Saccharomyces cerevisiae S288C: one gene and its partners. The protein of the gene in region 3 purifies or fractionates together with the protein of the main gene of each other region. This does not show direct contact. Each region holds a gene or a part of one and is shown on either strand. Other genes may lie near its edges.

What was found.
Region 1: the proteins of IPP1 (region 3) and TUS1 purify together in Saccharomyces cerevisiae (affinity purification with mass spectrometry; 3 studies listed by BioGRID). This does not show direct contact.
Region 2: the proteins of IPP1 (region 3) and RGL1 purify together in Saccharomyces cerevisiae (affinity purification with mass spectrometry; 4 studies listed by BioGRID). This does not show direct contact.

What each region holds. Positions count from the first base shown.
Region 1 is NC_001144.5:980,912-987,346, reverse strand, and holds TUS1 (Rho family guanine nucleotide exchange factor TUS1), read right to left. Parts: upstream 4,454-6,435; coding exon 530-4,453; downstream 1-529. Other genes in the region: TDA5 (Tda5p), read right to left, coding at 1-134, 206-285. UniProt on the Saccharomyces cerevisiae protein: Guanine nucleotide-exchange factor (GEF) for RHO1 that stimulates the exchange of RHO1 GDP-bound form into GTP-bound form. Required for signaling of cell wall defects to RHO1.
Region 2 is NC_001148.4:424,731-428,172, forward strand, and holds RGL1 (Rgl1p), read left to right. Parts: upstream 1-1,502; coding exon 1,503-2,942; downstream 2,943-3,442. Other genes in the region: YPL068C (uncharacterized protein), read right to left, coding at 1-366; HTC1 (Htc1p), read right to left, coding at 521-1,117; ESCRT-I subunit protein VPS28, read left to right, coding at 3,197-3,442. UniProt on the Saccharomyces cerevisiae protein: Regulator of RHO1 signaling that acts as a cofactor required for the efficient localization of the TUS1 GTP exchange factor (GEF) for RHO1 to the bud neck during all phases of cytokinesis.
Region 3 is NC_001134.8:256,612-259,683, forward strand, and holds IPP1 (inorganic diphosphatase IPP1), read right to left. Parts: upstream 1,365-3,072; coding exon 501-1,364; downstream 1-500. Other genes in the region: HHT1 (histone H3), read left to right, coding at 1-130.

The DNA of each region.
Region 1 (6,435 bases), on a different chromosome or scaffold from region 3:
TGCCATTCTTAAATTCACGAAGGCTCTTCCAGGCGACCTGTCCCGACCGCTTTATATAGGAATTAGCAATGAGGAATGCATTTATCAGTAGTGTATAGATTGTTAGACAAATGCTTATCGAGTCGCTTAGAGACCTAGGTTAGTTCGTCATGTTAGTATAAAAAACGCTGTTTCTAACCTCATGCCTATTTTCTACTTTACATACCATCTCAATACAAGAGCTACCAGAAGTGGATAGCGCAGCAGTGGCAGAACTACCCAACGACACAAACAGTCTATATTCATCACCAGAACTTCACCTTTTCCTCACAGCCGTATTATCACATATTAATGTATCTGTTCTACTGATTTTAAAGAGCTACTTGTTATACGGCTAAATGCACTTCCGAGGGTAACCTGTTATTCAGGATTATATGAACAGAGAGAATAATGATGTGAGTTACTGCAAATAGCATAATTACTGGACTATATTCTTGTTGGCTTATATTATTACAACGATATTTACCATTAAAAGTGTCTATATCTTATATTATTGATGATCTGCCATTGCTACAGGATTGCACGCGACTAATAATTGTCTATTAAGTATATTTGGATGACTTAACACAAGAATTGTTTTCTCTCTCCTTTCTGAACTAGCCAGCTTTATCTTCTTTCCTTTTATGATCTGGACGGGAACCAATTCGCCTAGGTTCTGCTCAACATTTTTTAAGTCGTAAATCTGTATCAAATTGTCGCCAACGAGAATCAAATGATTACCATGGAAGCTCGCGCCGGTACAACAAAAATCAAGTAAGAGAATATCCTTTCTCCAATCAGACATCTCACCGTAGCAGTTTATTTTCACTACGGCTTCATCATAAACCAAGGCAAAAAAACTAGATTGTGATATTTGAAAAAAATTGACCGGTATAGCTTTGCAAGTGGCGATATCCTTTTTTGCTTCTTCAGTGAGAGATTCTATGGAGGGGCGTTTCTTGGAGTCTGTAGCACTTTTGAACGGTAAGCTATTCAAATGTGGATGCCTCAAGTGTGCCATCATATCTTTATCATTCAAAAAAGATGGTAAGACTATTCCGTTATCCTCGAATGAATCTTGATAAAGTATGACTGTTTTCTTTGTACACACAGCAAAACTTTTCCTGAATATGGCAATATCCTCAATTTCGTTATTCAGAATGTTATTACTTGAACTTGGGAGCTTATACTCTTTGTAAAATTTGAAATATTTTACTTGGTTTGTCAATTGATCAAATTCTGGTGTTAATATAACTATCTTCCCCTTTCTTTCAAAAAATAAATGTTTTGAGTTACCAAAATCATCAGCAATTTTGAAGAATCTCACCTTATCTCTGATTACTGTTCCCACAATGCAGTTTTCATCTAGAGTGTTTCCTTGCGCTAGGTAACGGCTCACTACCGTTGAGATATTAAAATAGCACAACTTTCTGTTATCCAATACAAACAAGAGCCCCAACTTAACATTGGCTTCCATTCTTTTGACGTCGTTTAATTCTAATATTTTAACGAAACCACTACCATAATCGTCTCTATATTTCACATAGATACCGTCTGTTGTAGCCACAAATAGGTAAATTCTGCCCTCGAATTTAACATCTTCACAACAAAGAATCCGTGTTGTCTTACTCCATGAACATGAATCTTTGTTTGCTTTTTGAGCGTAAGCTTTGAGTGCTACATCAATTTCTGATCCTTCCGGAGCTACAGGTAGATTCACCGGTGCATCCTTGTCGAAGTATGCGAACTCAGAGCTCAACACTGTAAATTCAAAGGCATTTAAATCATGATTTTCTGCATTTCTTTTAAAAGATTCCATGATAGCATCAATCCATTGGTTGAGTACTTCTGCACTTTCTGTAAAAAATTTGAACGATTCACCTGTGGCTGTATTTCTGATCTTAAATGAGAACTCGTCTGTGTTTGGATTCGCGTTAGAAATTTCAGTATTACTAGTCTTTCTATCTCCATACGCTGTTGACATGTGATTTCCAGAACTTTTAAGCAGAGGTCTCATGGAGTTAATCGGTGTCGAAAAATTATGCATTGGGGATTTATGTTCTTTCTGAGAGTAGTTTCTCAGAGGCTGTTTACTTGTTCCTGGAATTTTCCTTTTCTCGAGACTTAAATAATCTATTGGGATAGGTCTTTCAATAAGCTTATATTTTTGAGTTTCTCCTTTACTTATTTCCTCTGTAATCAGTAAGCAATTGTCCAATAATGCGATATACACTGGGGTTGGGTCCAGCCATAAATCCCTCTTTTTATAAACAGTGCCAGATAGTACTAACTTCCTTTCCGGATAAGTTAAACCAAGAGCTAGTTTATCCTGAATTGCATCATCGTCATTTGCGTTAGTACTACCACCGACGTTCACATAGCTTGTTGCATTACTACTATTAGTACTTAATACTAATTGTTTCGAAAACCTTACTAGTTTCCTATGGTCAATTGCTAATCCATGTACCTGATTAACTTCAAAGTTCAACTTTTCTACTTCCTTAATTACTATTTTCAGGTATTCATAATCCTCCATGGAAGGATCCGTGTTCTTCAAAATTGAGCGCAGAGTTACGGGCATGTTTTGTAAAGATTTGAAAAACCCCCCAAAGAATATAACATCATGATACATCTTCGATCTTGTAATTTCAACCGAGTTATCAATCTCCTTAAGCCATGTTACAAATTTCGTCTTGTTTTTCTTCTCCCACATTATGATTTCGTGTACCGTTGCCATAGCTTTCGCGTAATTCAAATATATATTCTTGGCTTCACCACACCATTTTGAATAGATTTTTCCAACGCCATCAATAAACTTACCTCTCGTTTTTAATTTCCAAAATATTGGCGTCAAAAGAAATTCGGTATGTAATTGTATTAGAGGTTCGAAGATATCAAATGCCAATGCCTTGAACTCAGGCTCATCTGGAAGTAGGGATTTGTCAAACCGTTTCCCATAGATTTCTACCGCGGCAGTAGCCATGTTTAAGGATCTTTCTTCTAAAATAATTAAGTCAAATATAAAGCTTTGTCTTTGTACTTCACGGGGATTAATTTCTGCTAAATCATCTGGAGTCAAGTGCCAGTATTCTGTCCAAAGTCCAACTGATTTATTTATGATTTCGGAAAGTTTTATTTCTTTTCTGAAGCCAGAGCTTTGGCCATGTGTGCAAACGTTGGAATAACAAATCAGGGAGTTTGTAGATCCATAAGTATTATCGATGAATGAATAGCACGGTAGTAGTTCGGTGAAAACACCAGTAATATCCAGCCCTCCCACAACTACGGCTACCTCTTCATCGTTAATGATATCGAATCTTACTGCTTTCTGGGAAATAAACGAAGCCATAATATTATCCACATTTGAGTCTATCGTATCTTGATCGAAATTTGTAGGCATTTGAAACTCTAAAAGTAATTGAACAATTTGGAAAAGATCGATTTTCGTGAAGACACATTCATTAAACCATTCAAAATAAACTTTCAAAATCCACTCATAAATAGCAGAAAGTTTGTAAACATTATCACATTGATAAAGCTTGTGCTCATCGATAGATTGAATTGAAAATGGTTGTGTCGGTGCAGTAATGCTTGGTGCTAATTCTAATGGCTTGGCTCCTAGTAAAGAGTTAAAACTACTTTGCCTGGCATTTGAGTTATTAAAAGTATAATCTGAGTCAGAATAAACACTTTCTAGGGCTTCTGATACTCGGCTATTCCCACTTACGTTTCTAGATGTTGATAGAGGCGGTGGTGGTTTCGTAAAAAATTCTGAGTCTTCATCATCAAAAGGAGATAGCAGAAGAGTAGTAGTGAAAGGAATTGGGGGTAAAGCTTTTTCTCTTTCATGACACCGTAGATCTGATTCATCAGAGAAGTGAGCCTGCTGTTTGCTACTATCTCTTGGAGATTTAGGGGAATTTGGACTAAATCCGTTCGCAAATGGTGATTTTAAGATCCTGGAATGGTTAGATATGTATTCCATGTGATGTCGTTCCTCTGAGTTTCCTATAAAGGATAGTTTATTAGGTGATCTTTCCCGGGACTGAGAACTGGGAGATACCATGGGTGAGTCTATCCGTATTGATTCAGTGGAATACAAAAGGGGTGGCGGTGGTGGTGGTCGTCTTTCTTTGACGTACTTTGTCGATTTGGGTGTGGATTCTGAAGAGCTAGTACCGTTTCCCCTTGCACTATGTTTTGATGTAAAGGTAAAAGCCTGAGGGACCGGGCTTTGGAATTGCTGGGTGTCACTGATTGGTGTCCAGCCAATTGAGATATTATCTGTTCCGTTATCAGAATCATCCAAAAAGGAGTTCCTCGTATTCAATGGTGGCAGTTTGGGCAATTCGATGCTCTTTCGTTGGCTTTCTTGACGGCTTACTCGTTTTTCTGGTGTTCGTTCAAAAGGGGAACTTCTATTATATCGATACATGTTAACTTGCTGCACTCAATAAGTTTTTTGTTTTAATGTTTATATTCGAAGTAGTATCAATTAATTGTTCATAACAGTGGCTGGAGGGGGTATACAGAACCACTAAAACCTCCAGAAATAATAGTTGAATAAAATATTGATGCAAGAAATGGATTTTGAACAGTTATATTGCGTACTGATCATCCTCTCTAGGGGTTGTTTACCTAAACGATGTGTTAACGTTTTCTCTAAATGATTTATATTGCGGCCTATGCGACGAGTCAGTATGAACAATAGAAAATCTTAAGAAGCCGTAAGCTAAAAACATCAAATGATTATAGCGCACCAACTGCTCGACTGGAAGCAGCGAAATTACGTATGTATGACCGAAGCTCAGTTAATTTTCTCTTAAGTAAAGACACAACCTTTAAATGTTGACTAACTGTGTTTGAGTAGGGGAAAAGTCCCCAAAAGTTGACGCATTTCCTTTGCATGACTGGTTTTGGAAAAGATTTCGACCTAACTCCCCAAAAAATTACTGTGAACACCTATCTGTGTAAATTTACGGTTGTTTTAGTCAAAATAGCTGTTATAACGTTTATCATAGTCCACTAAAACAGTATTTGGACACCGAACAAACTGTTTTCGATTAGGAGATTAATCGCATCTATTAAATAGCTTGATGTTTTTATTATACAATCTTCAACATTAGTTGTGATATGGAAGTTTAAAATACTGGCTAGAGACACTCGTTAGGGTTAAGGTAAATCGATAGCGGTAGTACATTATGGCATACATACCAAGATCGGGTAAAGCCGTTCCATAGTTAGATGCCTACTACTAAATGACGGTCTGAAATGGGAATTATATACGATAAATATCACAAATTGAGGAGATGGAATATAAGGATTAGCTGCTAATTATATGACAGGTTTATTGCGACGTTACTATATTACAACAGATGGCGGTTTTAGGGTAGTACCGCTTGCTTAATCGAATCAGATCAAATCAGAAGAAAAAGCAGGATCAGGCTTGAAGTACACGCTCAATGAACAAAAGCGAAAATAACCTTTTGTTTAGAGGTGCTTGTCATATCGAAATACTATATTAACTTTAAAATATTCCGCGCTACGTTGGGTGAATTAGAACTGACCAGGAGCATTTCCCTAATAAACTAAATTAGCGTGGCCACACTTTCAATCTTCGTGTGAACCTGTTGGAATAAAAATCAACTATCATCTACTAACTAGTATTTACGTTACTAGTATATTATCATATACGGTGTTAGAAGATGACGCAAATGATGAGAAATAGTCATCTAAATTAGTGGAAGCTGAAACGCAAGGATTGATAATGTAATAGGATCAATGAATATTAACATATAAAACGATGATAATAATATTTATAGAATTGTGTAGAATTGCAGATTCCCTTTTATGGATTCCTAAATCCTTGAGGAGAACTTCTAGTATATCTACATACCTAATATTATAGCCTTAATCACAATGGAATCCCAACAATTACATCAAAATCCACATTCTCTACATGGTAGCGCCTATGCTTCGGTTACTTCTAAGGAAGTCCCATCAAATCAAGATCCGTTAGCCGTTTCAGCTTCCAATTTACCGGAATTTGATAGAGATTCCACTAAGGTTAATTCTCAAGAAGAGACAACACCTGGGACATCAGCTGTTCCAGAGAACCATCATCATGTCTCTCCTCAACCTGCTTCAGTACCACCTCCACAGAATGGACAGTACCAACAGCACGGCATGATGACCCCAAACAAAGCTATGGCTTCTAACTGGGCACATTACCAACAACCATCTATGATGACGTGTTCACATTATCAAACGTCACCTGCGTATTATCAACCGGACCCACACTATCCGCTGCCACAGTATATCCCACCGCTGAGTACTTCCTCACCTGATCCAATCGATTCACAGGATCAACACTCTGAAGTACCTCAAGCTAAGACAAAGGTGAGAAATAATGTCTTA
Region 2 (3,442 bases), on a different chromosome or scaffold from region 3:
CAAGCCGGCGAGAGTCGGCTTATGTATATCTTTATAAAATAATCTTTGTTGTCTTTTGATGAGATTGGACAAATTTTTCTGAACTTCCAATACAGAGATCTTTTCGGGATCATCATCAGGTGAAGATAGGCTGGCGCTATTGTGGAATTTAGGGCGCTGCAGAGGCTTAGGTATTATTATATTTGAGGTGCCCAGTGTTGTGGTTGTGGCTCGAATAGCTGGACTAACCATGTTTTGTGCGACTACTTTACGCTTCTTAGGGACAATAATGGATGGTACCGCTGCCGTTGTGGTTGAAGGAGGATCGGACGTCTGATTTCTCCCTGAATAGTCAACCCTTTTTCTTTTCCTGAGTTGCATATGCATATTATATTGTATGTGCTTGTGTAGGTAGAAGCGTCTTTTATTTATCTACTGTCTCATCAGCTCATCGCATCATTAATACCAGTATCGGTTATAGTACATAATTAACAAATGTATGTAGCATTTTGGCATGCTGAAAAAAAAAAAAAAAACTTTATCAGGCAAGTGGCTCGAAACCGTGTGAAAGGATATCATCAACGGTCGTTTTTACCTGTTCCGCGGAATAGCGTTCCCGTGGGAAGAAAAGCAGCACGTGAGCGTGGAAAATCCGGGCAACACTTTGTAGTTCCGGGTAGTTGACAAACCAGGCCACGTGACCCGAGCTTAGAAGTGGACGCAGTAGCGGCTGTGCCTGCAAAAATGCATTCATGCGAGCGCGGGCCGCTTCGCGCACGGCCTTATCTGGGGAATGTACTGGCAGGGCAACCTTGGACCAGAGAACAAGGTGTACAACACCAGGCTCGAAGTTATACGGGAAATCGTTGGCACGCACAGCATATAGAGTAGAAGAACTAAAAGCCTTCGCGGCAGCATTTTCGAGCTGCGGTTCGTCTAGCGACCAGCCTAGTTTTTGCAAAACGTACTGGTTCATGTCCAGGCCAGCAGTCCTTTTCTTATGCTCGTGGTATTTGTCAGTCATCTGGCGACTTCGTTTCAAACGGGCAAGCTCCCCCGATTCAATTATCTCTTTGATTTGTTCCCACTTCCACCCTTGGGCCTCCTCCTGGTGATCGTTGACGATATCTTGTTGCATTGTAAACCTAAGCTGTTATAAGTAAATCAAGTGCAATACAAATATATACAGCATGCTGGCGTCCTTAGCCTCACGCCTACTAAACAAGAGCATCTTACTCTCACCATCCATTTATATACATATATAAGTACGTAAAAATAGATGTGTATAAGTCGTTCTATCTATAACGCGCCCCGAAGTTGTTTAGTATAACAAAAACGGAAAAAAAAAGAAGGAAAATGGAGATTGCCAAAAGCGCGCTAGTTTGACAGAAAGAGTGAAATATTAGTTCAATATTTCAGCTGTCACGGTCATCACTGCTCCGACACTTTTTTGTGGGATGCTTTCTGTTCACCTTGGTTTTCTATGGGTATATAACAGCTGATAAAGAATCGAAGAAGTGAAAATGACGCACCCAGTTATATCACTAAAGCCAAGCTACAATTCTGTAATACGGGGCTGCCCCGGTTTACCTGATACGTTACCACGAATCGAATGCCAGTTAAGAGTGCGCTCAAACAACTCTTTGCCATTCAAATTGGTAAAGATCGAAATTGTTTTAAAGACAATTGAAATATATTTCAACAAAAACCTTTATAGCAGCAATAACAGCTCTTTCACCCCATTTAATCGTCCGTCGGACCCCTCTAATGGCCATTCTGACACCAGTAACCAGAACATCAGCATTCATTATAAGAAAAACATCGTGTTATCCCACCCTACCCATGATGGCGACGATCTCAACAATGATCTTATTGGCATAGACATACCTTTGACGATTGGGCTACCTGACGACATCAAAGAAACAAACTATAATCCGAAATTCGGCAAAACGCAGACTTTCCTGGATTGTACCGTGTTTTATACAGAGGTCGGCGGAGGAAGCTCAAATAAGAAAAGAAATTTTCTTTACCCAGTAAACGTCGAAAGGTATACATACCTACCTTCACCGTCATATTTCAGGCCAATAAACAGATCAAACATCACTTCTCCCGATCAAAAGTTCTTAATTAGTTATTCCATTGAGAATCCCTGTGTTTCTATGAATAATGACACGTTGAAACTCTCCATATCAATCAGGCTGAACCCATTTCCGAACAATGCCACAACTCCCTCTTCGAATGACTTTGATGTGTCCACGCCGACACTTTTCTCCACAAAGAAAAAGTTTAAGTCCAAGCTCAAATTGAAATCAATTACAACACAGATACTAGAATACTTGGAAATTCTGAAGAACCAATCAGAATTCTCATCCACGCAAACAACAAATATTTTGCAAACCTCTGTAAGACAGGTTGATCAAATCATCTCCATGAATTCAATGATTTTTCAATTCAACCTAAAAATATTCACTAAGGACAAAATTTTACAAAGCTTTAGATCTTCTGAGTCGAGTTGTCCCGAAACTAAAGTATTAATCAACAAAATCGACGACATTCCTCTGCAATATCATAGTTCGATAACTACGATAGGTCAACATTTTAATGTTTCTCACTATCTTTCAATAAGGTTCAAATTCAATAAAAGTCTGAAAAACTTCGAAATTAATCACCCCCTAATCATATCGTTTTGGTCAGTAAGTCAATTGCCGCTAATCGAGAACCTAATATTGCAAGAAAGACAAACTGCTAAATTTGCCAAGAAGTTTTATAAAAATTTTGGTCGAATCAAGAACACGAGCAACAACAATAACAGCTCGAACTGTCTAGAGTATCCCTCCTTGCCGCCAATAATTTATAATTTTAACGACCCAGAAACAAATAATAGATTTAATATATTATACTCGCAAAAGGACCCTAGTCGTACGGATCCTTCTAAATTGAGAAGAGTACCTGTCATACAATGAGGCAGTGATTGGCATGGTTCATATATTAAATCAACGCAGATACGTAGATCTATAAAGCTTTTGAATAATGCTAATGTATTATATATTTATATTCTTCTTGTCCCGCACTCTGGTCTTTTCAATTTTCTACATGAAGAGAAAAAAAGACTATAGCGTCCGGCAAAAAAAAAAAAGTTATGGTTTAACAATACAACGGCCCCATGGGTTTAAAATAAGGGCACTTTCATAAAGTCACTTATCACTCAAAAGCACCCATGCAAAAACACAATATAAAATTAAACCAAAACCAGGATATTTCCCAATTATTCCACGATGAAGTACCCTTATTCGACAACTCTATAACTTCAAAGGATAAAGAAGTCATTGAAACTTTATCTGAAATATATTCTATAGTAATCACACTAGACCACGTAGAGAAAGCCTACCTAAAAGACTCCATAGATGACACCCAATACACTAATACTGTTGACAAATTACTAAAGCAGTTCAAGGTCTACCTG
Region 3 (3,072 bases):
AGAATCTGTCGAAGCCTACTTAGTCTCTTTATTTGAAGATACCAACTTGGCTGCCATTCACGCCAAGCGTGTCACTATCCAAAAGAAGGATATCAAGTTGGCTAGAAGATTAAGAGGTGAAAGATCATAGTTTGTTGATTGTCATCAGTTTTAGTAAAAAACGAACAAAAACACAATAAAATATAAATCAATATATTTAGGTTTACTGGGTTCTTTAACAGTTGTATAATAGTTATTTTTTATTACAAAAATATAGGTTTTAATAAAAAAAAATAGGGTTCTATTTGTTTTACATTTATTGATTTGTTTTTCCTGGCGATACCCTCGAAAAAAGCCAGGCCTTGTAGGAGGCAAGATTTATGGCTTTCCATGTGGTTAAAGAAAAATTGCAGCAGGAAGATATTCATTCATGAGTCAGTTATATAATCGATATATAGCTACATATTAAACAACTTGAAGCCGCATACGTGGTAGGTGTCTCATTTTCAATTCAAAATATTTTAAACAGAACCGGAGATGAAGAACCACTTGTCAATAGACTTGTCAATTGGAGCATCTGCCTTTGGAGAAGCTGGTGGGATGGCATCAGAGGCAGCCTTGGAGTAGGTTGGGGTGTCAGGCAAAGTAACATTGGTCAAATCAATACCCTTGCTGTCAGAAGACTTACCAGCAATTAATTGTTTCCAGGAGTCATGTGTTTCCTTGATGATATCCAAAGCGTACTTCTTGTTCTTAGCTTCACCGGAGAAGGCAAATTGGTTTTCTGGCTTACCATCTGGGATTTTGTAAATTCTGAACCATTCGTTAGTAGCCCTCAACAGACCTGGGAAGTATTTCTCAACATCCTCAATGTCGTTCAATTTTGGGGCTAATGGATCGTTAATATCAATGGCAATAACTTTCCAATCGGTCTCACCTTCATCCAATAAAGCCATGATACCTAGAGCCTTAACTTGCTTGACTTGACCAGTGTAAGCAATAGTTTCACCAATTTCCAACACATCAATTGGATCGTTGTCACCAACTGCCTTAGTTTCTGGGTGGCTTACGTTTGGGTCTTCCCAAGTTTGTGGGAAAGCACCATAGTTGTGAATGTAACCATGGTGAGGGAAACAGTTTCTAACAAATCTCAACTTGCCCTTCTTGGTGTCTTGGATGATTGGGTTCAAAGTTTCTTCCTTGGTGATTTCTAACTTGGCGTTGGTCCAACGTGGAATTTCAACAACCATGTTGAAAATGTTGTTTTCCTTGTCAGCGTACAAGGGAATGTCGTGGAAGGCAGAAACTGGCTTACCATCCTTTTCGATATAAACTTTGTATTCCAAGGTGTTCTTGGCACCAATTTGTCTGGTAGTGTAGGTCATTAGTAAATTGCGCGGCGGGATATCCTGTTCTATAGACCTAAGGGACAACAAATCAAAATAGATGATTAAGAAAGTAAGTATTCAAAAACAAGTTGTAAATGAACTAACCTTCCTAACTTCGACGCGACCTTAAAACGTCGAAAAAAAACGAGAAAAAGTCATCATGAGACTATCGTATCTAATGACTGTGGCTTCTCCCAACAACCTTAGCGTCTGCGATGACGATATTTTGAAGAACAGTCAAATCCGTTTGAATAGTGCGCCACACAGGGATAATAATAGCACATTGGCATCTCCTTCTGTGAATGAAACACTTCTACCTGGGCTTCAAAGTCCCGCAACCTTTTAGTTACATAAAATTCGGCGGCTAAATCATGATATTATATTGATGGGTAATGTAGCGTTCAGTAAAACGGTTCCTATGTATTACTATCACGTGGGTGGGGAAGACCACATTCTTAGAGAAGAGTAATCATTTTAGCAGATTATTTTTACCTTTTTCAACTCATGAACTCATGTTCAAAGGTACAATATATTACCCTTTCTTCAAAGTATCCGAATGATTTGAACCGCACTCTGAGGGAGCCATCAAATTCTATTGAGCGACTTCGAATCGAACAATCCAATTAAATCAGCCTTTAGCGCCATATTTCTCCTTGTATCCATTGTTTACTTCTCCCTTGTATCTTGTATATGAGAATTATGGGAATAAGATAATTGTTGGGATTCCATTGTTTTCAAAGGCTGTAATATTAGGTACACAGATTATACTAGAAGTTCTTTTCGAGGATATAGGAATCCACAAAAGGAAATCGATAGTTATACATAATAATATTATTGTATCTTACTTCCTTTTATATGTTGTCACTCATTATTGTGTCGTGCATTCCATTAGATTGGATGACTGTTTCTCAATCTTTATGCCATCCTCTTACACCGCATGTGATATAATAGTAACATGAGTGCTGCGAAATAGATGATATTAAAATTTCATTCCAACAAAGTTCCATATATATCCATATATATATATATATTTCACGAGGATAATGAGTTAAAATACTATGTAAAGGTATTGTGGTTCATTTTTCTTTTATCAATTTTTATCCAAGTTTTTCTGATCTATAACATGTCCAATACACTTTTTCGAACTATAACCGCCAACAAATTTATCTTATAGACGAGAAACACTTTTATGATATCGATGTTCTACACCTACTGCCGATAACACCGTGTTTTCACTATTATAGCATATACCATTTTTGTAACCAATGTGTTGTTGTAATTCTCCGCAAGGCATATCCCAGATATTCTTATATGGCCCATTTCCACTTCGTTGAAGCCTCACATCAAAAGAGCAATCTTGAGATAATTTCAAAACCACACACATCGCTGCAGTTTCATAATATCTGTCATCACTGATGCAATAATTAAGTGACGAAATTATATCATTATTAACAGCTGTATTATTATTATAATCAAGACAAGCTGAATTTGATGCAAATATATATTCCCATTCAGTGCCGTTTCTTTCGAATTTATAGAAATCACTTCTTTGTAGGTAATTGTTCTGGCTTACTTTGAGCTTATTCATGTTAAAGTAATTGTTGGAATAAAAATCCACTATCGTCTATCAACTAATAGTTATATTATCAATATATTATCATATACGGTGTTAAGATGATGACATAAGTTATGAGAAGCTGTCATC